Lonchura striata: one gene and its partners. The protein of the gene in region 3 interacts with the protein of the main gene of each other region in a pairwise test. Links are inferred from orthologs where the notes say so. Each region holds a gene or a part of one and is shown on either strand. Other genes may lie near its edges.

Evidence for each region.
Region 1: the proteins of SYT6 (region 3) and ZBTB43 interact in binary tests that used the Homo sapiens proteins (3 or more experiments, as listed by UniProt). The two-hybrid records come from large-scale screens. The link is inferred for Lonchura striata from reciprocal best matches to the Homo sapiens genes SYT6 and ZBTB43.
Region 2: the proteins of SYT6 (region 3) and DVL3 interact in binary tests that used the Homo sapiens proteins (3 or more experiments, as listed by UniProt). The two-hybrid records come from large-scale screens. The link is inferred for Lonchura striata from reciprocal best matches to the Homo sapiens genes SYT6 and DVL3.

The regions. Positions count from the first base shown.
Region 1 is NC_134624.1:11,322,751-11,332,381, forward strand, and holds the start of ZBTB43 (zinc finger and BTB domain-containing protein 43), read left to right. Parts: upstream 1-5,908; 5' UTR 5,909-6,017; intron 6,018-8,151; 5' UTR 8,152-8,174; coding exon 8,175-9,569; 3' UTR 9,570-9,631. UniProt on the Homo sapiens protein: May be involved in transcriptional regulation.
Region 2 is NC_134612.1:18,723,721-18,733,823, forward strand, and holds the start of DVL3 (segment polarity protein dishevelled homolog DVL-3), read left to right. Parts: upstream 1-6,380; 5' UTR 6,381-6,443; coding exon 6,444-6,610; intron 6,611-10,103. Other genes in the region: EIF2B5 (translation initiation factor eIF2B subunit epsilon), read left to right, coding at 1,078-1,143. UniProt on the Homo sapiens protein: Involved in the signal transduction pathway mediated by multiple Wnt genes.
Region 3 is NC_134632.1:2,059,020-2,068,645, forward strand, and holds the start of SYT6 (synaptotagmin-6), read left to right. Parts: upstream 1-5,484; 5' UTR 5,485-5,738; coding exon 5,739-5,892; intron 5,893-9,626.

The sequences.
Region 1 (9,631 bases), on a different chromosome or scaffold from region 3:
CTTTGGCCTCTGAAACTATTTAACCTTGGGGCATGACCTGCTTTCCCCAGCACCAGGTCTGGGGTTATTGCAGGTTTTGGACCACACACCCTTTGCTAGGGTGCCCAGCTGGCTCCTGAGCCCTATCCCTGAGCTCATTCACACAGAACCAGCCCTGCATGAGCAGATCGTAGCGTACCCCCCAGTCTAAGCAGTTCTCCAGAGATAAGCTTTTAGAAATAGAGCAGAAGTTTCAGATGATCCATTCACAGAGTCAATTTTTGTAGGGCTGACCCGTTCTGACCCTCTACCAGTGACATACTCAAAGTTATAGCCCTTCATTTTTGGATAACTCTCATGCTTGTACATCTGAGGAAAGGTTAAAGTAGCTTTTTTTCCCCTCAGTAACTACATGTTTAAGCTCCATTTGAGTTCCTTTTTCATTGAGGTTGCTGAAAGAATAGACAGCACCAGTACATACACAGAGGCCTATGTCTCGTTCCTGGCCTTGTGACAGAATTTAGACAGTAAAACACTTAGAATCAGATTGCTTCACAAGAAAGAATGAATTGAATTTTTGCAGGTATCAAATATCTAAGAGCTTTAAAGAGCTAGCATCTGATAACAAATGATTCCTGCAGGAGTCTGGTGTTGATTTATTCCAAAATATGTGTCTACCTGCAGTCATTGGCATCAAGCTGCTTCTTGAAAATACCAGGATATAGCATATGACGCCAAATAATTTTTTACCATTTTTTTGTCCAAGGTGCTTCCAGAGAGGTATCTCCTCATGTGCAGTTAAAAAAAAAAAAAAAAAAAAAAAAAAAGCCAGGACCAAAATAAATTCAGACAGAATGCAAACACATTGTGTAAAGAAATATCTGAAAGTAAGGCACATTTTTTGAGACACTGATGCAGAATTTTCTTTTTACCTCTCAGAAAACTTCTATAATGACCACCATAATTTAATAGTAAATTCTGAAGTGCTTCCAGCCACATCTGCTGTTTCCATGCAGTGCCTTGAACAGGGTGGAATAGGACAGCACCTCAACTTGTAACATAAAATTTATCCCAATTTCCAGGTTCAAAGATAGTGGCTTCTCTGGAGAGAGTCTGGGCATGTCATGCTTTGATCCCTCAATAAGTTCAGAGGAAAAGCGGTAAAAGGCAAGGAAACATTTTGTTCAATAGCCAAGTCCACCTTATTCCCATTGTATTGCAAAATCTACTCCACCCCATTTCAAAGCAGACATTTCAGTCTACTCCACCCCATTTCTGCACTTTCAAGTGCACAGACTCTGATTTAATCCTGGAACAGACTCATGCACCTATCATGAGAGATATATAAATGCAAAGCTTACAATAGTGCTCTCACTACACTATAATGTCATATGTGTTCAGATATAAATATAATAGAATTTTAAAAAAATATGAATCAGGAGAAACATACAGATAATCCGTATTCCAAAATTCTAAATTTTGGTCACTGCATGGTTTTTTATGATTGAGCCAATATCCAGCAAAATTAGATTTAGTGTTCTTGCTTCTTATGAAATTACACAGAGGCTGCTGCTTTATTCCTCTCCAGGACAGTAAAAAGCAATAAAATTCTTGCAGATTTCGACAGCAGGCAATTCAATAAAAGGCTATGTATATTTTATAAGTACAATAAAAACAAGTCTATAGCTGGATCATAAATGGAGGTTTGTTTGGTTGGTTTGTTTTCTGCACACAATCAATGTTGGGGTCTATTTTCAGCACAGGATGGTCTTCTTAGCACACAGCCGTCCCGTTTTGGGGAGAAGCAGAATGAAATTTATATTTTTATAATGTATTACTTAAGCTTTGCTCAAGGGATTTTGCAATGTGTGTCTGTTTAAAATTTAAAGGTGTTGTGGAACTGAATACTTTCCTATTCTTGATGAGTGCTATAAAATTTTACAATTCTTTTTGTTACACTTTAAAGTGTATCTGTCTTATCATTGTGGCATTCCCTTTTTTATGAGCAAACAATAAATATTTGATATGCACAAAATTATTTCCTAGACTTCCGTCAATGCTCACTGGTTTTTTAATTCTTCAATAATATAATGGGGCGATTAATAGATTGCTGTATTTCTGAGCAGTAGTATTACAATGCATTTAGTGACAGTGTCTGTCTGCTGAAATAGAAAATTTTATACAAATGTAAAACCGAAACTAACAACATACAAATGACCCACCCTACATAATTACAGCTGTATCAATTTTTTCTTCTCTCTTAGAGAAAGAAATTTTAAAACTCTGAAGAAGCTGATTAAAGAAAAAAATACCCTCCCGATTTGTCTCTGAGACAAGTTCTCCAGCACTAAAAATCAGTGCGAGGTTTATCTGAGCAGGGTCTGTGGTGTCGAACCTCAAGTTTTCTGGAGAAGAAAACTTTTCTATGTAACTACACAGAATCCACAAGTACCAATTTGCCCTTCTGAGTAGTTTGGTAGTTAAAGTCTGACTCATACAGCAAAGTATAGCCAGTGTTATATTACTAGATGTACCAAGAATACAAAGTTTCAGAAATATATTAACATTATAGGACAGAACTAAAGACTTTTTTCATCATCAGAGTGAAGATAAAGCACTGTCGTCCTCATAAAACTGTATAATCTTGCCATGCAAGAATTATAGAGACCTTTTGTTTACAAACACAAGGTGATGCAGACCATCTCCATCTCAAAATCCAAACAAGTATGCTTTGGAGAGACACCTGTGTCAGCCTATCAAATGTCAAGATTCCCTTCCAGCTCACTTATTAAAACACAGTATTTCTTGCTATAACAGAAAAGGTATGAAACCCACTGCCTTAAAAATAAATTATTTAAATGAAACACAGCAGGGAGTAGAGAGGAGTCAAAAAACATACTATAATAAGAAAAGGATTCAAGGGAGGAAAAATATAGTCTCTAAGCTTAGCTGAATGATCATTCATGAATTTGACCCAAACTTCCAAACCTCAGCAAAAAGTAAAACATACAAATACTAGTTAATGCTGTTTCCATTTGCTTCCTTTGTAAAACATAAATTTTGATTTAACAAACTACTCTTGACTCTGCAGCCCTGCTCCTGCAGTCAGTGTTATCACATGAAGACTGCAGAACTGATCACATGAAGGAAATCCAAAATGCTTTTCATGCCACACTCCTGTTTAATTATAACTGGTAATGTGGCAGATCTTAATTTTAAAAACATGATTTTTTTCCCTGAAGAAAATGCTGGAAAGAAGAAAAATATAGCAAAAGTAGCTGTTAATTCCCCAAATCCTGAAAAGTAAGCCTTTACAGGAGCTCACAGCACAAAAGTTTCAATGCTAATTTGAAAGTGCTCTCTATCTCTTAGCCATATAAATTTTTTTTTTTGTATTTCAAATAATAATAACTATTATTATTATTATCTGACTCACACCACAATGCCCTTCTCCCGCCTATTCCATCTACTAAGTGTGCTGCAGCCAGCTGCCATGTCTTGTATCCCTTTTTCCACAAATATTTGTGCAGGAACATCCTTTGTTTATTCATTACTCAGCCCTGTGGGATCTTGGCTCTTAACGGGGACTGCCAGTGCTAATTCAATATAAATTCTGAGCCAATATAATATTCCAAATCTTGCACTGACAGCGTTATGAAAAAGAGCAAGTTTGTATCTATTCTGTAAACTTGAAGAAAATTCAAGACTTCATGACTGACAAAGGATCAGGTGGGATAGAAGACAATGCTTTATTATTAATCCTGTTTAAGATAGATACTGTATCACATAAATGCAAAAATCCATCTTAGCAAAGAATTTAGGTACTTCCAAGATTATGAGAGAGAAAATGAGGGTTTGGTTTGTAATTCTCCACCATGATCTCAGAATTCTGCTCCATAGTTCAGAGCTGTACCAGATGATTCCCCTTGCAGTTGTCTTCTGTTAGGCACAGCAGAGACAGAGGCCATTTCAGTGAGAGGAGGGGAGAGGAGTCTGGCAGGTGAAGAATCATCAGCACCATTTTAGCAGAGAAGGTACAGGAGCTTTCAAGACTCTCACTGAGATCCCAGTTTGCAGTATGAACTTGACATTAGTTGGGATATCTTCAAAACTGAGATACGCTGTTGTGGGCTTCCTACTGGGAAGTAGGAAGCTATGTGCTGTCATAGCCAGAGGATGAAACTTGCCGAGTCAGGTATAAGCTGTGTGTGTTTTTTGACTCTATACAGAAATCTCTCATTCAAAAAGTGGAGTATATGGTTTCTTTCCTATCCAAATGCTTAGGAAAGCTACCTGGCTGACCAAGCAAGATGCAGAGTTAATAGTTTGGTTGTTTAGAGAGAATATCCACAATACCCCCCTACAAAAGTGGTTTGTGCAATCAGTTGTGGTGAAAGTCAGATGACCCTTGTGAACAGCTTCCCCACCAGCAGGGAATACTTAATTCCCTACAACCTGGAGCAACTGAAGCCTTGCTCTTGTCTCCTGAACATGCAACAAGGGCTGCGCTGTTTATGCCACTGGGGCTAGAGCTGAGTTCTCTTCTGTTGTGAGTTGATTTTACATCTACTCAATAAATCATTGTTCACTTTTTGTAACACTTTGCACTTCTAACTATGAAACCACAATGTTCTCCACACAGGCCAAAATATATGCTTTGGTTGGCTGCGTGCTATTTCATCTCTCAAAACTTCCTTGCCCTACTGCTTATCATTCTTAGGTAGTGCTTTATTTGGTCATGTACTCTCATAAAGCCTATAGAGACAACTACACAATTGTGTTATGTTAAACATCATCCTTCTATTTTCCCATTTCTGTATTACAGTTTTTATTAGGATTCCAGTCCTATTAATGTAGGAAGGATATGTACTTAATATGAGAATGTGCACTATCAGACTTGGCAAGAGACCAAATTTTGTTCAGATGTATCACTTGCTAAAGCAGGGATGGTTTCTATCTAAAAATCCTTCAGCTCCCATGGAACAGCTTGCTCTCCTTCCTGCCCCAGGGTTTAGCACGTTCTCTTGCTCCAGTTCAGCCACAGGAAATCTCTATGGCTTTTACTCAGGTGAGATTTTCAGGGGCACGAGCTGAGAGTCGGGACAGCTCCGCTACAAAACCTCATGCTCCGGTTCAGAGCTTTGCCGAGGCTGTTGCCACTGCCCATGTGTGCGCAGGGCCGTGCCCAGGTGTGCCCAGGTGTGCCCAGGTGTGCCCAGGTGCGCCCAGGTGTGACACAGAGACATCCCGGGCTGCATCGGCGGCTCTCAACCAACCGGGAGGGCCGGTCTAGTTGAAGTCTTTGTGATGCATTTAAAAACTGAAACATTCTCATCTGTTTTCTTTAAAAAACATTAAAGTCTAAGCATAACTAATACTAATTTTTTTGTCAATTTATTTTCCGCAGAAAGGGGTGGGTTTCGGGCCGGGCCGGCAGGGCTGGCCCGGGGGGGAGTGGCGCCCCCTGCGGGCCGCAGGGGGGCGGGACAGCTGTGCGCGGCTCGGGCTCCGGCGCGGGTGTGCTGGGTGCGGGCCTTGGAGCGGCTGGACTGCAGGACAAGCCCCGTGCCCCAGCACATCAGGATCTGTGCGGGGGACAGCGGGCTCCAGATGTACTGTCTGGTGGCGCCCCCCCGGCAGTGCTCACAGTAGCGCTGGGTAGCAGCTGCAAGGGGCAGCAGGCGCAAAGGGAGGGGACAGGACAGGACGAAACGGGACGGGACGGGACGGGACAGCTCGGCCCAGGGGGTTTGGGATGCAAATCGTTCCTGCTGAGCGCTCCGATGAAACAGCTCCGCTCCCACGCGGTGCCAGCAGGGGGCGCCGCCGCCGCCCCGGTGGAGCGCCCTGCGGGCGGGAGCGGGGGGGGCAGGGGGGGCGCGGCCGGCGCGCGTCACGTGACAGGGACGCGGAAGTGCCTGCAGGAAGGGGGGGCCGCTGCTTCCGGTGTGGACCGGGGCGGGCGCGGGCAGGGCCGGGGCCGGGGCCGGGGCCGCACCGACAGCGGCCCGCTATGAGAGAGGCGCCGCGAGCCGCAGGTGAGGCGCTGCCGCTCGTGCTGCCGCCGGGCCCGGCCCGCGGGCCCGCGCCGGGGCGCGGCGGGCGCGAGGCCTTCCCGCGGGCGCAGGCCCGGGCCCCGCGCTCCACGGGCCGGGCCGGGGTCCCGGGGGCCGAGCACCGGGCCCGCTCCAGCTGAGCCTGCCGGCCGCGGGAGACGCCGGGGCTGTCGGTTCCCGGCTGCAGTTATCCCCGGCATGCCAGGAGGCCGAGAGATCGCGGTCCGCAGGCCGCGCCGGGGACGGGAGGGACTCCTTGCGAGCCATGCTAGAGCTCACGGCATTTTAAAGCAGCCTAAATGTGGCTTATATCTTTTGCTCAAGGCTTTAGCGTGCAGATTGTTTTTCTAATTGTTATTAATTGAAGTAGAAAGACTTTGTTCTTTTATGAGTTTGGAGTAAAAGTACAGAACAAAACAGATTGTAGAAGGAGGCAGTGAAATCCCTTTTGAAAACTGGTTTGCTTGAATTCTGTGGCTTTGCTAATTGAAAATATTTTACTTACATTTTATCGGCATGACGACTTAAAATACAAAAAAGTCTCCTGTCATCTGGAAATGTTTTTGTGGTGACATGCTGACTCCCTGCTGAAAGATGGCACTTTAGATTATCAGTAATTGTATATAAATTCTATAGACATCTGTCTTTAAACTTCAGTTGAATGTCTTCTGAAGGCTTGTTTTTATTGTAGGCATATATTGAAAAATAGAATCTTAAATCTGAGAATATTCTGAAGGGAGGTAAGGAACTGCGTCTGTATAAGAAAATCCGATTGTTTCAAAAAGTGGATGTAATACACACAAGGTATAAGATTATTTGAAATACTTTAATAGTTATGTCAAATTGTTTTAAGCAAAGTGGTAAGAAAAACTAATAATTGAACTGGTGCAGTATTCCGTTGCTCCCTGGAAAAGTATTGGTAACTGATTCAGTTCTGAAGAGGGTTGGTGGAAAAGAACCTGAGGAGTGCTGAAGACAGTAAATTTAAAGGTGGTCTTCTGTAATTATATGAGTGGCAACTTCATGGAACTTGACTATGGAAAGCACTTGCTGCTCCATGGCTCTTCAGATTCCCACAGCACTCAATTTACACATTATCAAATAGAAAAATTGCACAAGTTAAACTTAACTCAAGCAGTTAATGTTGGTTTTTCATAGTGGCATTTAAATTTCTGACATTTTTAATTACAACAGCATGCAAATTTTTCTCAAATTCAATTTAAAATTTCAAGTATGCATTTGAAAAAGCTGTATTACTGCTAAAAGGGCTGTTAACCTTTTTGTAAGACATCTGGATTGTGTGAAAATACAGATGTGAAAATCTGGGAGCTCTTAGCTGAGATTCTGTCATGTAATTGTTACGTTGTTACAAATGCATGAGGAGCAAGCAGGAAAAGTTCTGTGCAGCAAAGGCATCAACTCTGTCTGATTTCCCCAAAAGGAACATCCTAACCCAAATATAATAAGCTTGGAATTAAAAATTGTACAAGTTGTTGTTATTCCACCTTTCACTTAGTGAAACATTAGGGAAATACATGAGAAGGATCATAAGCCTTATTCTTAGTGGGGTTCTGCCTGTGCTTCCAGCGTCATCCTGTGAGTTGATACAGTTGCTTTTGAGAAATTGATCTGAAGTGAAATATTTCATGAGTAAAATTAGTGTTTGTTGGGAGATAAATGAGATGATTTTGCTAGCATTTGAAATACAAAATCTTTAATATGTTTGTATAAACTGTGAAACATCCTGGAGTTAGAACTCTACCATATAATTCCATGAAAAAACGGTTTCATTAGCCTAAACTCGTGTTTGAAATGCTTAGTCTATCCCAATTGCATAACTTACTGTTGGTAGCTCCTGCTGTAGTTCATGAGTCCTCTTGAAGAGAAGAAACACAGCAAAATATGCTGGCATAGCAATTTATGGCCTTAGTACAGCTTTCAGAAGAGAGAAATGAGGTGGCTTGAGAGAAATACAACAGTGGCAAAAGGTTGAGTTCCATGTGAGTCTGTTAAGAAAAAAAGAAAAAAACTTAGAAGAAAATGGAATGGTCAATACTTGACCAAGCAGAGTTTCTAATTTTATTTCTTATTTTTATTTCATATTTTTTTCCTGCAGCACAACACTAAATTTGTAATGAAATGGAGTCTGGGTCAAGCTCCTTTCGAGTGGAATTTCCAGATTTTTCTAGCACCATTTTGCAGAAGTTAAACCAACAGCGCCAGCAAGGACAATTATGTGATGTGTCCATTGTGGTTCAAGGCCATCTCTTCAGAGCCCATAAAGCTGTTCTTGCAGCTAGTTCACCTTACTTCTGTGATCAGGTTCTCCTGAAAAACAGTAGGCGAATAGTCCTGCCTGATGTGATGAATCCCAGAGTATTTGAAAACATTCTTCTGTCTACCTATACAGGCCGGCTGGTAATGCCTGCGCCAGAAATTGTTAGTTATTTGACAGCAGCAAGTTTCCTTCAGATGTGGCATGTAGTGGATAAGTGCACTGAAGTGCTTGAGGGAAACCCAACAGTTCTGTGTCAGAAGATGAATCATGGCAGTGACCATCAGTCCCCAAGCAGTAGTAGCTACAATGGCCTTGTTGAAACTTTTGAACTTGGCTCTGGAGGACAGACAGAATTCCACAAAGTGCAGGAACTAAGGGATGGTGAAAATGAAGAAGAGAGTTCTAAAGATGAACTGTCGTGCCAGCTGACAGAACATGAGTATCTTCCCAGTAATTCTTCAACAGAACACGATAGACTTAGCACTGGAATGACCAGTCAGGATGGGGAAGAGGGAACTAGTGATAGTGCAGAGTACCAGTATACCAGACCAATGTATAGCAAACCCAGCATCATGTCTCACAAGCGGTGGATCCATGTGAAACCAGAAAGGTTTGAGCAAGACTGTGAAGGCGTTGATAATCCTTATGATGAACACCAAGTTTCTGAATCCATGAATACCATCCAGGCAGATCACTCAATCCAGTCTTCAGGTGTTGAAGATTTTCACATAGGTGACAAAAAGATGGAAGCAGAATTTGATGAACAGGCAGATGAAGGTAATTATGATGAACAAGTTGACTTCTATGGGTCGTCTATGGAAGAATTTTCTGGTGAAAGGGCAGATGGAAATTTGACTGCTCACAGACAGGATCTTATGATGGCAGCGGGCTATGGTGAAAGCATTGATATGGCTGCTGGGATTAAAGAAGAAACGTCTCTTACTGGATTCTCCCATGCTGATAAGCTCTATCCTTGTCAGTGTGGAAAAAGCTTTACACACAAAAGTCAGAGAGATCGGCATATGAGTATGCACCTTGGTCTTCGACCTTATGGCTGTGGTGTCTGTGGTAAGAAATTCAAAATGAAACACCATCTTGTAGGCCATATGAAAATTCATACAGGCATAAAACCGTATGAGTGTAACATCTGTGGGAAAAGATTTATGTGGCGGGACAGTTTTCATCGGCATGTGACCTCCTGTACCAAGTCCTATCAGGCTTCTAAAGCTGAGCAAAGTACTACTGAGATGAACTGAGACATTAGTGCTTACATTTGTTTAATAGAGTAAGAAAAATAAACTAAATATGCAAATAATGT
Region 2 (10,103 bases), on a different chromosome or scaffold from region 3:
CACTGGGAGAGGCTGGGGTGGGGGGAGAGAGACAGACAACAGCTGCTGAAAGAAACTTCGAGTAAAGTTTGGTGTCACTGTCACTTTCTGTGGAGCAGCTGCTATCACATGGTAGGCCAAGAAAGCCAAGAAACACACCAGTGCACTGAACACTAAGCAACACAGATTTGTTCTCCAGAATAGGCGTTTTTGTACATTCTGCCAGAATCATCCTGTTTGGAAGAGGAATGGAGGTAGTATGAAGATTATTTCTAGTGGGCTCGCTGTAGCACGAGGCCAGCACTTTCTGGAGTAGCAGCACAGCTTCTCTAAGCCAACACCCATTTGAAATGGGCTTTAGGCCAATGCCCTGTGTGCTGGCCCCATGCAATTCCTTTGAAGCTTTCATTCCTGGCTCAGCAGTCCCTTCAAATATATTTCTAAGCATTTGCTGTACTGAGTGGTTTCATTTGGCTTCTGTTGCAAGGAGCATATAAACCTCCCTCCTCTGTTGGGCAGAACTTTGTGCTGCAGTTTGGCTGAGCCCTGTTCCAGTCCTCCTCCCTGGATCTGGAAGAGAAGTAGAGGGAAAAAAAGCCATCTAAAGAACAACTTTATCCAAGACCTTTGCAAAGTCAGCTATTAGTATAGGTCAGCAGTGCTTTCAGCTGCTTGTTCAAGCCCAGTTAAAACATAAAATGAGCTGCCTTTTTAATAGCAGTTTCTGAGGAATGAGTTTTTTTTCCCAGCAGAGTTTTCCTAACATGTCAGCTAAGGTTCAGCTGCCATCTCTTTGCCCTGAAGCTCTGAAAACCTCTCAAGTTTTTGTCTTTTTGCTGAGTGTTGGAGGGATTGTCTGACTGGAGGAATCTCCTTTAGGAATTTAATCAGTCTGCATTTGTCAGTGGCATCCCAGTTGTTTTTCACCTAATTGTCTCTTGCTTCCCGAATCTGTTTCCTCAATTTCTGTTTCTTCTGGAAACACTTTCTCTTTCCTGTGCATGGTAGTGATGCTCACTCACACAGTGTATTTGTTGAGCATTTCCAGCATCTCCTAGGTGTCAGTTGTTACCCAATTACATTTCATTCTCTTTGCAGCTCCAGAAGTTTATCCAGTGGCTGGAGGAGGCAGAGGAGGAGTCGTCTGATGGCGACCAAGACTGACATGGTGGCTCAGCATGAGAAGAGGCTCTCACTGCCTTTCTGGGCCAAGTGGGCAGGGCAAGATCAATGCCAGTGCATGGTGTATAGATGTGGGGTCTGACATCAAAGTGACTGACAATCCCATCATTAATTCAGTTGTGTGTTCCCAACTTTGCCACTTTCCTCCCTCCCTCCCTCCCTCATTTGCACCTTGTGTTGCAACCCAGTATAAAAACTATAAGGGAAAAGCAGGAGGCAGTGATACCTAAAATCCCTCTGGAGCCTGGATATGATGTACTATAAGCTATCTTTTGGGAGGTTCTTGTTACTAATACAAAGGGAGAGAGTAGATGCAAATGCATACAATGCCCCTTTAGATCTAACCATCAGGGTTGTGGAAGAATGGTCATACAGCTAAGGTTTTTGGAGTCATTGTTGCTTCTGGAGCTAAAGGAACTCCTGCTGAAGAGACACCGGCAAGGTTGGTGTGTAAGAGCATGTGGATTAGGATCTGGAGTGAAGGACTAGAATTCAGGAGTTCTCATGCCTAAAGAAGATGCAGCTGTCTGAGGATGCCCAAGGCATTTTGCAGCCTAGAAGGCACTTCTGTGATCTTTCCAAAAGGGAAAATCTCTTGCCATCTGCCATGCTAGGATCTAACACAAATTGCACAGTGGAGTTGGTAAAACCATGTGTTTCCTGTGCTATAAAACTAGGGATGATGTTTTGCTCAGCTTCCCCACAGGGTTGGTTGATGGTGGATGGCTCTACGGATCACCATATCCTGCATGTGATCATTCTTCTGTGCCCCCAGCTTAGCAGACATGTTTTAGAGAAGTGTCTGTTTCTTATTTTTTTTAAGAAAAGGGTGCAGAGGTGCCTGGCTTCTCCTGCTGCACCAACTACACTTGTTTTGCCCTGGGGGCATTGACTGCACCAGCTGCTTTGAGGAGAATGCAAGTTACTAAGTTCTGCTCCAGTGTGAAAAGGAGCGAATGGTATTTCCTTCAGCAGCACGTCTGTGTATCCACATGATTTCAGTTACATAAGCTTGCTTACTTCATGGCCGTTTATTTATTTGAAAACTTCCCTCAGACAGCAGGAAAAGTGCTGCAAACCCACTGTGAGGCTCTGCAGCCACAGAACAGCTTGGCAGGCAGCAGGGAATAAGTGTGCCTCTGGCTCAGACAATGTGTGGCAGCAGCAAGGCCTTTAAGAGCAGCTAACTTGGAAGTGTCACTGTGCTGCATTCTGCCCTGCTCTCGAACAGGGTGAAAAGGGTACCGCAGCCATCAGCTTGTGTTCATGGGTGGGGTATTGGATCTGCTGACCTAGCCTCTGCCCCTTCAGGAGGAGCACGGAATAAATCCTTTGCAGGAGGAATTGCACTGGAGCTGCCCACTCAGGATATTTACTTGGCCGTTCCGTGGTGCCACAACTGTCAGTGAGGGGACAGCATTGGATGCTGGAGACCAGGGATACTGCCTCTAAAAAGCTGATGTTCAGGCAGGGCCATCTTGTGCACTCACACTATCAGTTGCCAGGACTGTGCATAAATGTCCTTGTTTTCTGACATTGCAAACTCAGTCTTGTAAATGTTGGGGAAATTGTTGGTATCTGAATTTTCTGTATCTGCCAATATTTAATTCAGGGAGCAAATAAAAACTATCCTGGTGTTACCAGCTTGTTTGCTTTTTTTTACTTGAAATTGTATGTCTCCAGTTTTACATGCCTGAGCAGGGCTTCATGTGTAAGTTAAATAACTCATCACTTGTTTTTCCTCAGATTTTAAGCACACAATAGCCAGGTAGGAAATCGGCACAGCATTTCATGAGTGAAAGTGTTTGATGGTAACTCATGAGCCCTGTTTGCAACTAGTGAGAACAATTCATTAAAATGTCTGAACTTGGAATCCTGAAGTGGGTGAGGTTTGGTTTTGTACAGAATTATGTTGCAAAGATGAACCTTAAATCCAAGGAAATCTCTTATCATTTGTCATTATGGGAATTGATGGGAATGTTGGCTGATACATCATGCATTGTGTCCTCCTGATGCTGGGAAATAAGAACCGGTAGAGAGGCAGGGAACTGGCAGAAGCAGCTACAAAGCCCTTAGTCAAACCATTTACAAACCAGCTGCAAGACTTAGTAATTTTAAAATCTCCTTGGAAGTCTCAAATATTTTTTTTTCCTTTTACAGAGTAAATATGGCTTAAGAATAAATTTAACGTGTAGTGCTGTAAATGGCTCAGTTTTGCCAGAAGTTCTTGATTATTTCTGCCAAGTAACAATTCCACTTTTGTTTTTTCCACATTCCTTCCTCCTTTGCTCCAACTTTGTGGTATGAGCTGCTTTTTACCTGAGAGTTAAAATCCAAGGGGAGAATGTTGCTTTATGGCCACATCCTTCAGGCACTGGTGGTGTGTGTAGTGGGGTAGTTTTACAGATGCCAAGAATAGAGTAGCAAAAAGAAAACTAATTAGAACACTTGATACTCTCCAAGGTGGAGTTCTGGCATGGTGAAGCATCCTTATGTACTGATACGTGCTGTACTTTTTAAAGGAGCATTTATTCCATTGCTGAAGTGTAGGGTGGGCTTGATGCTTTGTTGTTGCTTCAGTCAAGATGGTTCTTTGGTTAGAAGACTAGAAATGCCTTTGAGAGCAATCTTGAATGTGGAATCATTGCTACCCATCTCTGAGAAATGCAAGCAATTAAGTACTTTATTTTCCTAAGACTATAATAATCAACTTGTCTGCCTTCCCATCTGACAGGGAGGGGTGGATGGATGGATGGATGGAAGGAAGGAAGGAAGGAACCTGGTGTTCCTTTATCAAACCTACAACTTCAGTTAACAATAGTAACCCTTTTAAAAGAAGATAATAATTTGGATTTGCTTAAAGGTGTAAGTGATGGAACTCAAGTACATCCGCCTCTGCTTTGGGCTGTTCCAAGATGCACTAAAATGTCTGAAGCCTGTACTCTGTAAGGAGAAGCAATGTTATCGATGCTACAATTTTTAAGTTGCAATAATTGCAAAAATAAGCCAACAGGCAGTTCAGAAACTTCCTTGTGGACCTTGGAGTGCACAGCACAATCCCCTCCTGCTAATTTCTTTGGCACTGTGTTCTTAACTTCCATTCAGTGAGTCATACAGCACAAGGCCTCTGTGAGCAGTGAAACTGATCTATCATTGAGGCTATTCAGTCACTTGGCCTGTTTTAAAAGAAAAGGCAGCTGTAGCAATGAGATTTCATCTACTACTACCCTGGGGGTGTGGCACCCCTCCCCTGAGCTGCATGTGCTCCCTTGGGAGCTCGGCAGTACCAAAAATTGCCCTTTTGGTAACAAATGTGTCTGATGTGTACAATACAGGCTCCAAGGTGCACCCATGGCTGTGCTGCGAGGTGGATGAGACCTGGCAGTGGCCCTGCCAGGTACACACTAGGATTCTCTCATATGTGCCTGCTTTTGGGGCACGGAGGTGTTGCAAAAGGACTTTAAGATTAGCTCTGTCAGAGTTGACACAGGAAGAAGCAATTCAAACTAAACTTTTCCATTCCTGACCTGGATTCTTCATTCCAGGTACACCAGCTTTTACTACAGAGCTCTGGGCATAAGGAAATTACAATCTTCCAAGAGCTGATGTGGAAACATCAGAGTCTCAGACCTCTTACAACTTCTGTTTACCTGAGGACTTCCCTTGAATTTTTATTCTTTTTTCAGTTTAATGTCAGGTTCTTCCCCCAGTCTAGCAGTGCTGCCCAGGTAATTACTAGCAATGCCTGCAGGACTCTTTAATGCATTAGAAGGCTTATTTAGCTCTGCCTGCCTGAGGAACTTGGCTCTGTTCCCTGTAGGATCTCTCTGGCTCCTTTTCCTACGGCAGGGGAGTCTAGTCTGAGGGCTGATCTAGTCTCATGCCCTGTCTCATGCCCTGTGCAGGCCCGTGGTGTGGTGCTTCCTCTGCATGTTCCTTCTAATCCAGGATGGTGCAAGGCGGTTCTTGCCCTTCCTGTTGGTGGGTGTTCCCAAAACTCCATCCACCCCAGTTTTGCTCTTAGCCACAACTCTGGGAAACTGCTGATGGAGATGGTTCCTTGGTGCCTGCTGGGTGCTGGCAAGGTGTGCAGGGTGGAAACCAGACAACCTGAGACTGATGTGGAACAGAGGCAAGTCCTGGGGGCTGGGGTCACAGTGCTGATGATTATAGGTAAGAATTTGCTGGGGTCTGGGGAGACAGGATGGGAAGAAACCACACAGCCAAAGGGTGCCCAGTTGAAGAAGCCATGGTATATGGAAGAGAGGATTCTCATGAAGAGCAGAGGAAAGAGTCTGCTTGGTAAGGAAAAGGTCTGGGCACTGGGGTTAGTTGTTGGATGGTGACAAGGGGTTCAGAGGGAAGCCCTAGCTGGAGAGGAGCTCTGGGGTGTGTGGTAGTCTCTGTGTGTGGTGGCCATCTGAGACAGTATGGAGAATTCAAAGGGGTCTGTACCTGGGAGGATGGTGTAGAGATGGATATGCCTCATGTTTTGTAAGCTGTACTCATGGGGCACATAGCTGTAGAGGAGCATGGGGAAGGCTGAGAGGTGTGTGATAAAGGACCAGAGCTGCAGAGATAGAAGGGGAGGCCTGGGGTGTGGACAGAATCGGAGGTCGCGGGACACAGGAATGACCCTGTGTGTGAGGCACCATCAGAGCGTGTAAAGGGGGTGTGAAAGCTGAATGAGGGTGGGGAGCCTAGGAGAGGTGTATTCCCAGCTGGCACTGGGAATGTGGGTGCACGGGGAGTACCAGGCTGCGGATAGGAAGATGTGGATGTAAAGTATAAATGCCAACGCACCCAGGGGTGATGGGGCTGGAGGTGGGCAGTCCCGGGGCCGTGCACCCTCACGGGGCACGGCAGCACCGGGGCTGGATGGGTGTGTAGGGGCTCCGTCCCAGCGGCGGGGATCCGGCTCGGGGGCAGCGGGCGGGCCGGCACGGTGGCGGGCTCTGGGCCCCAACTCGCGGGCTGCCCGCTGAGCCCGGTGCCGTCCGCGCTGCTCCCGGGGCCGCTCCCGCGCCGCGGCCCCGCGGGGCGCCGGTTCCGGTTCCGGCGGGGCCGGGACGGCGGGCGGGGCGGGGCCGGCCGGGCCGAGCCTGCGCCGTGCAGCCGGGCGGCGCTGGGACCGGAGAACAAGGGGCGCGGGGGGACCGGGCGTGCGGAGGCCGCAGCCGGGCCGGGGCACGGGCGGGGGCCGGGCCGGGACCGGGGGTCCGGGCCGGGGCGGCGGAGGCGGCGGAGGCAGAGGCGGGGGCCTGGCGGCCGGGCAGGGCGCCATGGCGGCGGCCGAGACGAAGATCATTTACCACCTGGACGAGCAGGAGACGCCGTACCTGGTGAAGCTGCCGATCCCGGCCGAGCGCGTCACCCTCGGCGACTTCAAGGGGCTCCTCAACCGCCCCAACTACAAGTTCTACTTCAAGTCCATGGACGACGACTTCGGGTGAGCGCGGGCCCGGGCCCGGTCCCCCGGGGCCACGCGTGGAGCCCGGGCCCCGCGGGCCTCCCCGGGGAGCAGTGCGGGTGGCCGGGGAGCTCCCGCCCTCGCGGGGCCGGGCTGGGGCTGGCTGCCCCTCGGCCCCGGCAGCGCCCCGGGACGGCGGGGCCGGGACCCCCGGGATGGGGAGGCGCCGCTCGTGCCCGGCGCGGGGCCGGTGATCCCGATCCATCTTCCATCCCCGTTGCCTTTCCTTGGCGAGGATGGGGATGGTGACCCCCTTGGGCTCTCTCTGGAGGGACGCGCCCTCCGTGCACCCCAGGACCTCACCTGTGGGAGGCTGGAGGTGATACCCCCGTGCACATTCTCTGGGGTTCGTTGTCCCTGGGTGCTGCCTCCGGGGACAGCCGCACATCCTCGGATCCCGCATCTGCTCTGGGGAAGCTGCGCCATGCCAGCTCCTCAGTGAGGGAGCTGGTGATACCCTGCTTCAGGTGCCAGAGGCACCTTGGAGAAGACCATCATCCCCATCTGAGGGTCACTCCCTCCCGTACTCAGGATGTTTGGCCAACACCTTGCCTGAGGTGGTCTCACCCATGCAGCCCACACTGGGGTGTCGGGGATGGCATCCCCAGGTTATATCCTGCTCAGGACTGTCACTCCCCACCAAAAGGGCCTGGGCATCTCCCACTGTGCCTGCCTAGGGAAAGTGCCCCTTGCTCCCTCCTCCAGAAGGGTGAGCCACCTCCATCAGCCCTTTCCATGGAATGGAGTTGGGGACAGTTTTGTTTTCCTACCATCCATTTTGGGGAGGGACATCCATTTTGTCAGCTTTGTCCTCTGCGTCTAATTTTTGGGAAGAATGTGTAGAGAAGGCCAGCTTTGTCCTCCCCTACCTCCATGAAGAAGGAGTGAGAGCTCTCCATGTGCTGCCCATCTCTGAGCAGGAGGTGTATACAAGACTCACTGTACCCATGTACATGTCCCAGTCTCAAAGTGAGATGTCCCGTGCTCCATCTCTGGTATAGAAGAGGGGTGCAGCCCTGTCTTATATCCCATCTCCTGCAGGGCAACTCTCTTCCAACAGTGGTGTTTCCATCACTTCTTTTGTGATGCCCTTTGGTTCCTCCCATCGCAGGTGACTCATTGGAGGTGAGGAGGTATATTCTGTCTCTTGTTTGGATGTTGTACTTGCTTATCTTCTGGGCAGCCCCTGCTGTCTCCTACCTGCATAAAGTTGGTTAACGTTCTGGGGAGCAAATACCATGGGAAGCCAGCTCCCTGTAAGACCCTCTGTCCTCACTCTGTTTTGTCCAGATTTCCTACATCTGACTTTCCTTTAGCCACTCTTTTTCCATCCTGGGATTCTCTTGGTTTCTACAACATGTGACTCTTTACCATTTCTAGCACTTTGATGTTTGAAGGAGTGGTGTGATACTTCCTCCTCTGAAGATCTGGTGTTTAGAGTAGGTCTTATGCATGGAGCTGGGATTGCAAAGTGTTTTCAGTTTTATATTCTTCCCAGTGTCTTCTCACTGCACCAGATACCTCTCTGGGCTGTGATTTTGGCTTGTACCCCATGTTGAACAGGGCTTGGCCTGTTTGGGACTTGGATGAGATCTGTGTGGCTGCCTCAGCAGGGGGTGCTCTCCCCTCCTCAGCCAAATTATCCCCGTGCCCAGGTTCCCGTTAGTTTGGGAGGTGCCAGCTTTCAGATGAGGCTTGAAATTTGGAGTCACTCCTTTGACCGCAGTCTGAAACGCTTTGCTTCCCTAAATTCCTCCTGACCCAGTGGAGAGCTTTAGTTCTCAGAAGCTTCTCCATTCTCTCCTGGCAAATAGAAGTCTCCAGCCTTCATTTTCCATAAATTTCCTCAGCAATATCAGTTGTCTGTGGATCGTTTCCTGTCCCTCAGCTGTTTTATAGCGTTGGGTGCTATGAAACAGCTGCCTCTCCCTGTCTCGGAGGGGACCATGTTCATTGGGGGGAGAAGTGACTTCTCTGTGCATGCTGTTTGTAAACAAATGCTTTGGGATCCTTTGAAATGTTGTTCTTGAAGTGAATTCAAACTTGTCTTGAATGAAACATTGCCATGTGGGTGGGAGAGTGTGCAACTATAAACAAAGTTTAGTAATAAATAGCAGCGTCTTGCATTGGGAAGAGGGGTCTGGTGGCAGTGAAGTTTTGTGCTGTGTTTTTTCATCCTCCTCTATCTCTTTAAGGTTCTACAAGAGGAGCTAGATGATAGATTAACAAAACTCAACAGTAAAGCAGCATAGGGAGTTATAGTGGGTGATAGCAGGGAGAGGGGAAAGTCACTCAGGAAGACACCACAAGATCAGTTGCGTCAGAAATGTATGGATGAGATTTTTGTTGTGACCAGCCCAGCTAATTTCTTTGGGAAGCGTAAACCACTCTGGAAGGGAAGGCACAGCTGACAGGGGGTCAGGGCTGTGTGTAGGCAGCCTGTTCCTTGGGGAAGTCCTGGGCAATATAACTTGAGCAGTTGGAGCAGTGTGTGCAAGGCCTGGGGTGTGAGAGAGAGAGCAAGCCTTTGTCACCATGGATGCTTCATCAGGAAAGCTGTCTCTGCTGCTTTCCAGAGAGCTGAAGAATGTGCTGGTGGTTGGCTGGAACATGGTGGGAACAAGCAGAGCAGTCCAGCTGCAGCCTTGTCTCTGAGAAGCCCTGAAGCCCTGGGCAGCACACAAAGTTTCATGATCCCTGGTAATTGATGTCCATGAGAAAGTGAGCCATTGGCCTGCAGGGAGAATCAGAGACAGAAGGGCAGGAGGCACCTTGGCTGCTTGACTGCAAATGCATGGGCAATTAGTGAAAACTAGACTGGAGGTTAACAATGGTGGCATTCAGAAGCTGTGTGACAGGGAAAAGCATTTCTCTCTCACACATATATTCCTCTCAGCTCCTTCCCTGAGGGGATTCCCTCAGGGTGCCTTCTGTCTGGCTTGTGCTGGGCTGGTGTCTGTCAGCTGGGCAGTGTCCAGGAGTAGGACCCAGGTTAAAGCCCCCTCAATGAGAGAAGAAGTAGATGGCCTTAGGGCAGCTGATAAATGAGGAGGAGGCCTGCAGCTCCCATGGTTCTGATTTGGACCTTCTGCTGGATCCCTGTGGCATAAACCAAACTTTTCTTCTCATCTTATTAGGAACACAGACATCTCACCTTCCAGAGCCAGCTGGAGTAGAATCTCCAATGTTTCCTCTCACCTCTGTAGCCCAGTCTGAATCTTTCTCACTCTTCCTCCTTTTTTCCAGGCTGTGGATCTCCAGTCTGGTATTCCCTTCAGCTAACCCCATCCCCAAAGCAGTATTACAGCCTCAGTCTTGGTGTGTGGGATTTTTCATTCTTTTGTTTATCTTGTTAATATTTGTTTGCTCTGAGAATCAGAGTTGTGATGGAGCAGCTTCAGTGTTTACATCTCCTTGGAAATGTGAACTGAGGTTCCCCTGGGTGGCTGTGGAGTTGTCGGGCTATGGCAGG
Region 3 (9,626 bases):
GCTTCCCAGGAATCTTTAGCACTTTATAACCAAGGACAAATTTTAATCTCTCTTCTGGGTTCTGACACCAGCACTTTATTGGCCTTCAAAGAAACTGCAGTCTTTTAAAAATAAATTATGCAGTGACACTGATAGAGGTGTCCATGCACAGAAGGCTGAAATGAGACCCTAAAAGCAGCAGTTTTTCATCTGCTCTCAGAGAAAGGATGTGTTAATATTGATCATTAACTTTTAGGCAAAGGCCAGCTTGAGCCTTCTGACAGCCCTGGACCAACAACAGCCATGGTGACCTGGGGGAGGCAGGATTAACTCTTTGAGTCAGGGAGAGGAACTGAAATGGGCCTAATCCCAGCCTAATGCTCGTTCCAGGGATTTGCTGCCATAATCTTCCTAAAATTTATGTCCTAAATCAGCCCAGCTTGCCAGGCTGACAGAGGCTGACAGCCCTGGCTGGCACCAGGCTGCCAAGGCATGGAGCCATGGAGCACCTGAGCTGGAAAGATCTGCCAGGACCACCCAGTGCAGCTCCTGTCCCTGCACAGACACCCCAAAATCCCACCCTGGGCACCCCTGGAGCACTGTCCAAACTCTCCTGCAGCTCTGGCAGCCTCGGGCTGTGCCCATTCCCTGGGGAGCCTGGGCAGTGCCAGCACCTCTGGGGAAAGAACCTTTCCTGATCTCCAGCCTGACCCTCCCCTGGCACAGCTCCAGCCCTTCCCTGGGTCCCTGGTACCTCAGCCAGGCCAGGCTTTCACTCCATTCATTTTCTTGAGGCTGTGGCTGGTGTTAAAGGCAGCTTTGGAAGGTCAGAGCTCCCTGAGCTCCCTGGACAATGGATTTGAGCACAGCTCAGCTGATACCATCAGCCATCTGATGCTGCTGGAGCAGAAATGGATTTTTAGAGCTTCCAGCCCTGCCAAATCAGGATCTGACTCTTCACCTTGAGGATATGCAAAGATTCCAGGTCAATAAAATGTATTTCAGAAGCCTCACCACCAGGAAAGAGCTTTTGGTGGTAGTCCTGCCTCTGGAACTCTTCCTGCCGGGATGCACACAGCTCCAAATCCCCCTGCCCCTGGCTCCAGCTTTGTGTGCAACACAGCATAGTCCAAGATGCCTCTTGGAATTGGAGCTTTTCAGGACACAGAGCCACATTTCCTTGCTCTGAATCCAATGAAGCCAGCCCTGCACAGAATGCCTCGCTGGCACTGCAGGACAGGAGCTGGCAGCCGGGACTGCCACCCCCTGCCACTGTGGCCTTTGGGCTGAGCAGCTTCCTCCCAGGCTGTGCCCAGGAGGGAAATGTGTGATTTATCTTTAAACTCCTCATCTCAGAGTGCGCTCATGGCACAGCCCAGGGATTTTCATTCTAGGCTACAAATTCAGCTCCTTCCTTCCTTCCTTCCTTCCTTCCTTCCTTCCTTCCTTCCTTCCTTCCTTCCTTCCTTCCTTCCTTCCTTCCTTCCTTCCTTCCTTCCTTCCTTCCTTCCTTCCTTCCTTCCTTCCTTCCTCCCTCCCTCCCTCCCTCCCTCCCTCCCTCGTTTCCTCCCTCGTTTCCTCCCTCGTTTCCTCCCTCGTTTCCTCCCTCGTTTCCTCCCTTGTTTCCTTCCGTCCTTCCTCATTTACTCCCTTTTTTCCTCGTTTCCTCTCTCCCTCACTTCCTTCCTCATTTCCTCCCTTTTTACCTTCCTCTTTTCTTCTCTTTTTTCCTCCCTCTCTCCCTTTTCCCCTTCCTCTTTTCCTCCCTTTCTCCCTTCCTTCCTGGATATTCAAGCAGCAGAGGATCTGTAATAAAATAACTCCTCCCAACCCCCAAATTTCCAGGGAATGCACAGCCAGGAGCGACTCAGAACACAGGAGGAGGGAACCAGCATCTCCTTTATATTTCTGCTGTTGCTCTGTGCAGCAGATTTGTAAGTAATTGCTTTTTAAACTAATTGTGTTGGACTTCAACTGAATCTACCTCGCTGTCTCCATAGGATAAGGTGCTCTCCTCCTCCGTGCAGGTGAGGGACACACCCCTGCTCTGTGCAGGCAGGAATGAGGTGAAGATTTTGGCTTTCTCTCTGTTCACACAGCTACACCACCCTGGAGGAGCGTGTGGAGGCACAGCAATGCCCAAGTGTTGTGTTTATCCACAGATGACTCGGCGCCGTTGCCAAAGGATCCAGATCCGCGTCATTTTTCCTGGCAAGAAGCTCTGGATCCTTTGTGAGCTGTTTCCAATTATTATATTAACTGGGAAAGTAAACAATGCCATGCTATTAGATAGAGCTGGCACAAAGAAATGCTGCTGCTCCCTCTCCAGACTTGGTTATTATTAAGAAATAAAAATATCAGCTTCAAATAGATCCTAATGCGGATTAAATGAACAGCGAGTTCTGTCTCAGCTGGAAAAATATAGCTGTGATTCCAGCTTAGTGGCACATTCGTGGAATCATGGAATGGTTTGGGTTGGGAGGAATCTTGGAGCTCATCCCCTTCCAGCCCCTGCCATGGGCAGGGACACCTGCCCCTGGCCCGGGTTGCTCCAGCCCCGAAATAAATCCCTTCCAATGGAAATGTCTGGAGCACACCGCCCTCATCAATCCAATTGCAGCGTGCTGTGAAACCTCCCAGTTCCTCAAATGTTTGTGCAATACTGTCTCTGGTGCTTGGCTTCTGCTTTACTGCAGGGAAAATGATGCTCTTTTGTGGCTCTCGGTTTTTAGGAATTTTCCCACTCCCTGCTTTTCTCTCTGAGCAGCCTCGAGCTGCCACAAGTTTCAGTTTTCCTTCTTTCCTTGCAGTTTTAATTCCTTTTGTGCTCCTGCCCTCAGGGGTTATTTCAGAGGTAATTCAAGAGCTGCTGTGTTGCCTGTAACTCATTTCTTTGTTGAGCCTGTTGAGCCACTTTCTCCCGAAGTTTACTCCACTGCCAGCCCTTCTGGGGCCGCTGCTGCTGCGTTTAACTCCTGGCTCTGCCTCTCCAGCTGTGACCCCAGGCCACTGGACAGGAGCAGGGGGAAGAGAAATGCTGAGATAAAAGGGAGAGGCATCCACACTTCCCTGCACGCCAAGGGCAGGCAGCTGCAGGGAAAGCTCTGCCAGACACAGGAAACCCAAAATTTCCACCCAAAATGCCAAGGGGGATGTGGATGAGACATCACTGAGTTCTGCCAGCTCCCTGGGATTTGGGGAATTATCTCCTTCTCATGCTGGGAGGTGGAAACACAGCTCGGGGAGCAGTTTGGGGTCCAAGTGGCAGCTCAGCCTGAGGCAGCTGGAAAATGGAATTTCTGGAGCTGCCCTGAGGGGTGGAGGGAGCTGCAGGGTCTGGGGTGGGATTTGACTTCTCCAAAGTGGGATCTTCTCAGCAGGACATGAGAGGGAAAATCTGTGCCCCAGCTGCTGGGTGTGTGTGGCTGTGGGAGAGGAGAATTGGGAACCAGAAAATCAAACAGTGTTTGGATTTTCAGCTTCCACCTGACTCTTTCCCAGCCTTCTGTGCTGGACAATAAAGAGTGTGTGTGACATAAATTCAAAGGTACAAGGTGTAAAAAAAGTCTGGCTTTTGTTCTGAAGGAATATTTGTTGAGAGTATGGATGCAGGATCTTCTGTTACTGCTATTGAGCAAGCCTGGAATCCTCTGATATGTAAATCAAGGTGAATATTTGACCCAAGGTGACTTTAAATTTAAAAGTAAAAGTTCTTGGTATTACCCTTGTAATAAAATTACCCTTTTTTCCCCCAAATAATTGAATTTTATTATTGATTTCTGTGTTACAAGCTCTCAATTGGGCATTAACCTTTTTCAAAGAGTTTAGCTGTGATGTTTTTTTGTCTGTTGAAACCTCTTTAAGATAAATTCAAATTTCAAATGCAAGACTTGACTGATATATTCCAGAATTCCTCTCTTGGTGGCAGTTTTGGTGGCTCAGGCAGAAACTGTTGCTGTGCTGGAGACATGACGTGATGCCTGGGGCTCATTGCATCCCCTTGGGTACAAATCCTTTGATTTTGGGACTCTGGGACATGAATACCCCAGGGCAGGCAGTGAGAGGAGGAGCAGAGAAGAGGAGCTGTTCCCTCCCCAGCCAACTAGATGTTGTATGGACCCAAAGATCAGGTTTGAGGCATCATTTGATCCTCAAATTTCTTAAAAAATAAATGTGTGAGTGTCTTTATGGAGTTTGTCATCTAAATGTAAAGCAAACTCTGCCTGAGCTTTAGGGCACAGGTTGGACTTGATGATCTTAGAGGTCTCTTCCAACCTCATTATTCTGGGATTCTGGGATTCTGTGATCTCTGGGAAGTTACTGGTTTAGCTCCCAGCGTCTGACTCTCTCCCCAGTAAACACAGACCTTTGGAGCTGCTGGTGCTGGCTGCAGGTGGCAGGTGACAAACACCTTCAGGAGGAGCTCTCAGTGTGCAGCTCTGCCTCACTGTTTGCAGCAGCAGCTCATGGAGCACTGGCCAGGACAATGTTTAATTAAAAGCCTCTCTTTGTGACCAGTTACTGGGTTAATAAAAGGTTTCACTCACGTTGTCCTGGCAACAGAAGTTTTTGGGAGGAGCAGAGCTTGGCGGGTAAGTGGCTTTGCCAGACAAGGTGCCAGTGGGGACAGCAGGGATGTGGTGGTGACGAGTCCAGAAATCCTTGGTCTGGCCAAGGAGGGACCAGAGTGGCCAGAAGGACCCTGCTGCAGCTTTCCAGGGGTGCTGGGCAACACCTCTGTGCTCCTCAAGTGCCACCCAGACCCTTTGTGTCACACCAGCCCCAGAGCTGGAGGAACTGTCCAGCCTGGGAATGGGGTGTGGAGCAGGTTCTGTGCCCAGGGCAGCCTGTGCTGTCCTGGGTGCTGGTGCCACCCCTGGGATGCTCTGCTGTGACAGCTCCCAGTGCTCCAGCAGGTCATTAACAAAAGCACAAACACCATCTGAGCACGCCTTGCTGTGCTGTGGGGCTGAGGGACCTGTGCAGCCTCAGCCCTGGCTCTCCACAATGCTCATTAGGTTTGTACAAGCTGCAAGAAGTCATCCTGCTGTACATAATTTTAATTGCCTGCTCCACAATTGCCTGTCAAATATATGCTCTGTCGCGTGGCATGACCTGCCTGCTAAATTGCAACAGGAATAAAAAAAAAAATACTACGGAAAGTAAAAGGGAAAAAAACCTAATTATGAACTAGAATGGCATTCTCAATCTCTATTGCCACCTGCAGCCTGCTGTGGCAGGACAGCACAAACAGATCAATAAAACCCGCAGCTTTTCTTCTGCGCCTTTGGCAGTTGTGAGGAGTTTGTGCGGTGTTTGTGGGAGCGCTCCGGTTCCTCCTCTCCGCTGTGTCTCAGCCTGGAGGTTTCACCGCTCGTTTTCATTGCCAAAATCCAGGGTTGGGACGCCCAACTCCGCGCCCGCAGAGAGGGCAGCAGCGAAAGGGTTAAAAGGAATGCTCTGGGCTGCAGCTTCCCCGCGTCTCGTGCGGAGGGCACGGATCGGAGTTTGGTAGGAGGTTCTTTGCCGGGAGCAGCCTTGGCAGCGAGCAGAGCTGTGATCTCAGAGGCCATGAGGCTCCGGGAGCGCCGGGGGCTGCGGGCTCGGGCTGCGGGCGGCGCCGCGTGTCCCGGCGGGCGCTGCCGCGGCCGCGCGTGGGACCGGAGCGAAGCCGCTCCCGTGCCGAGCGCCGAGCCCAGCCTCTCCTCCCACTGAGACTTTCCCAAAGAGCGGAGGCAGCGGAGGATGCGCGGGGGGCCATGAGCGCTCCCAGGGAGGATGGCCGCTGTCGCAGGGCCATCAGCATCCTCACCGAGCTGTGCCAGAAGAAAAGCCTGCCCGGCTTGGACCTGGACACCTGCAGGGAGTTCCTCCTGCTGCCTTCTGACCAGAGCCTGATTATCTCCGAGCCAGGTACGGCCCCTGCTCCCGTCTGCCGGAGGATGCTCGTGGAAGGCAGGAGGGGCATCCGTGCCCTACAGGGGAGGAAAAGGTTTGGGAGACCCGTGTTAGACCCTCTGGGAGGGTTCCTTCCCTTCCCACATGTTCCACGGTGAAGTTTTGGGTCAAGTCCTGCCTCACCTGTTGATGGCTGCACGGGGGGACAGCCAGGATAAAGTTCCTGAGATAAAGTTCCTGTGAAAGATCCTTTTCCAAAAACACAGACTCCTGTCCTGTATGAAACAAGAGCAAACCAACAAAAAGCAGTAGAGAGCCTGCTTGAGCCGCTGGGATGGCAGGAACTGATTGGTGTTGGAGAAATGGAGGGAATCACACGGACTGCGTGGATTTCTGTTCATCAGGAAGGGACCTTGGTGTACTTCCATGTGTGTGTTCTACCTTCCCTAAGGATTGCCTGAGTTGTTCCTGGTCGGGCTGTAGAGCCAGGGAGGGACTCTGGTGTGTCAGGGATGAGTCAGGAGCAGGAATTCTGCTCCAGGAGCAAAGGGACAGCTCCGTGTTGCAAAGTGGGGAATTTTCCCAACACCTATTCTCCCAGCTGCTCACTCCAGAGAGATCTCCTGCTGCCACTTCAGATGACATTGGCAGGGGCAGTTGGAACCCAGGCTCATGTGCTGAGGAGCAACACCCCAAATCTCACAGCTTTTAGAATTGTTAGTAACCTGCTCAAAGTTGTTTGTTTGTGTATTCCAACATTTTCATAGAGGGTTTCTTCTAAGGTTCCTAAGTTTCCTCTAAGGCAAGGATCTGTGGAATTCCAGCGTTTTTACACCATGAATTTTCACAAACTCTCCTCCTCTGCTGAGCACACTGTGCAGAGCCCCCGTGCGGCACAGCTGCCCATCAATCCCTGTCCAGGGCTTTCTGTGTCACCTTCCCTCCCTCTCTCCTTCCCCTCTCTGCCAGGATCTCATGCTGGGATGCAGCTGGCACCCCCAGGGCACAGGGCACCAGGATTCTGCCAGCCCTTGGTTTGCAGTGGTGCTTCCAGCACGGCTTTGCTGATAGCTCCAGGCAAACACCCTCCCTCCACATCCCACTTTGCCTGTAACTTAATTCTCTTCTTCAAATGAGTTTGTTTTAAAGCTGCCTGTTCTGGAGGCCTCTTACCATGGCCGGTTGTGTCCTTACACATCACATCCCATGCAGCTATTGCAAATAGAGCAAACAGCTTGCAAACTTATTGCATCGATTTGGAATTCTTTACCTTGCACCAAAATGAACATTTTCCTGAGTCTGCAGCAGAAATACTCCTCACTGCTCTTGTTCTGTATAGATATGACAGGTCTGCATTTGTTTGCACAGCCTGTCCAGGACCTCATGTTCATGTCGGGATCACATCATCATCATCATCATCATCATCATCATCATCATCATCATCAGCCTTTAGCACAGGGAATGTCTGTGTGCTCTGAGCTGTGGTCAGCCCCAGTGCCCCGGGCGAGCTGTGCTGGGCTGGCTGCACGAGCAGCCAGGGCTGTTGTCTCTGCTCTGCATGACTGGGCCCATTTTTATGTCTAGACAGCACAGAGGACACAGTTTGGGCCTGACATGTACTAATATTTCTCAGTTCCTGCCTGTAAAGCTGCTCCAGCAAGGGGAAAAAATCTGTTTGCATCAAGTGTTTACTACCACAGTCACAGAGGTACGATGCCTTCCCCATCAGCGTCTGGATGTTGATTTAATTATCTGCACTGATGCTTTGTCCATTTTATCCCGAGGTCTCACGTGGAGCAGATTTGCTGTGGTCTGGCTGCAGTCCTGTGTTCAGAGCCATCCTCACAAAGCAGGCAGGGGGAAGGTGGGGCTGTGTGGAGGTGAGCAGATGGCAGCAGGCAGGTGCTGTGTCAGGAGCAGGGCAGAGGAGCCCTGCCCTGCTGGAGTGTCCCTGTGCGGGCAGCACAGCCCCGGCAGCCAAACGCCAAATTTGCTGGAGTCAAACTGGCCTCATTTGTCATCATCATGTGGAGTCTCCGGCTTCTCGGGCAGTTTGTTGCCTCCTGGATAAATCTATTTAGTACTGGCTGGATCAGCTTGGCTTGTGGAGTGTCCTGCTGGAGTTCAGGTTGAAGGAAGCACTGCCAAAGGTGCTCCTGCACAGCTCAGCACAGGGGCAGCTTGGTCTTTTCTGCTGTTTCATGCGTGGATGGGGAGCAGTATCCTCAGGGAATGTGTGGAGCCAGGTATCATCACCCTTCCTGAACTGCATCCAAGAGTGGAAAAAACCTGTGAATATAACAATACTACTGTATAGTTTATGTAAGAGTAAGTTTCTGTGCGGTGTTAATTTTTTTTTTCAACCATTCTGGACTGAGTGGCTGAAAGGGCTGCTGTGGATGGAGTGGATGCACCTCTACTCCCTGGTTATGTAACAGCTGAATCTCCTCCTCACAGCCAAGAAGAGCAGCCGAGCTGCAGCATTTCTCTGTGCACACCCAGCAGAGGAGGACTGCAGGCTGCTGCCTCGCCCGCAGCCAAACCAGTCAGAAAAATCAGGAGTTTGGCTGGGGAAGGGAGGTTTTGGTGCCGCTGTCAGGGGGGCTGTGAGGGGGAGCTGTGCCTGTGGCGGTGCCAGGAATAGAACTGATCTCCTGGCTGGCCCGAGATGGAGCGAGCTGCAGCATCCTTTTGTCGTGCCTGTCGCCAGTCCTCCCCTGGAGCTGCCTCCATCTGATCCCTCTGCTCCCTGCCAGGCCTCAGCTGCCGGGCAGGGATGCTGGCAGTGCCACCCGGGCTCTGGGGACAGCACTGGCCACAGGTGATGGCCTTTGAGAGGATGGACTCATCCCTTCTGTGCCCTGGAGGGGCAGTGAGAGCTCTGGGGTGTCACTGAGAGGGTTTGAGGTGCAGCTGTGCTGAAGGTGAAGTGTTTGGCTGTGGGGCAGGGGAGTCAGCACCCCCCAGGACCGTGGGGACAGTGATGTGTCCCCTGTGCTTGTCCCCTCTGCCCGTGGGAGTGGAGCTGCAGCAGGCTCTGGGCTCTGGGACACGGGGTGCTGGGCAGCCCAGGAGCTGGGCTTCATGTCCTGCTGGGGGGGTTCTGGGGTTCCCCTGGGCTGGGTGCTGCTCCCCGTGGTTCACAGAGCCTGGCCAAGGACAGAGGCTGCCAGCCTGTCCCAGGAGATCCTGGGGGAGACAGGGGAAGCTTGGCTGGTTCTGAAATGATCCTGCAGGGCTGATGAGAGTTACTAAATAGAGTGAGTTTGATGGGATATTGGGAAGGAATTCTGTCCTGGGAGGGTGGGGAGGCCCTGGCAGAGGGTGCCCAGAGCAGCTGTGGCTGTCCCTGGATCCCTGGAAGTGTCCAAGGCCAGGCTGGCTGAGGCTTGGAGCAGCCTGGGGCAATGGAATGTGTCCCTGCCATGGCAGGGATGGCACTGGATGATCTTCAAGCTCCTTCCCACCCAAAACCAGTCTGGGATTCCATGATTCTGTGACTAGAACCAGGATCTGGTGTTGTTAATTTAAAGGATGGTGCCTGGGTACAGGGAGGAATTTATCCTGGGATCAGAGCACATCCAGGAGAAAACCTCTGGGTTTGATTTTTACCTTCAGCACTTCTGTGCTGAGGCTTTCTTTAAACAACCTAAGTTGTTTTTTTTTTTTTTGCCTGAGTGATCCCTTTGTACAAAGCTTTGCTGCCCAGTGGAGCCAGGGCAGGAGGCAGAGGCTGATGTGCAGAGGGG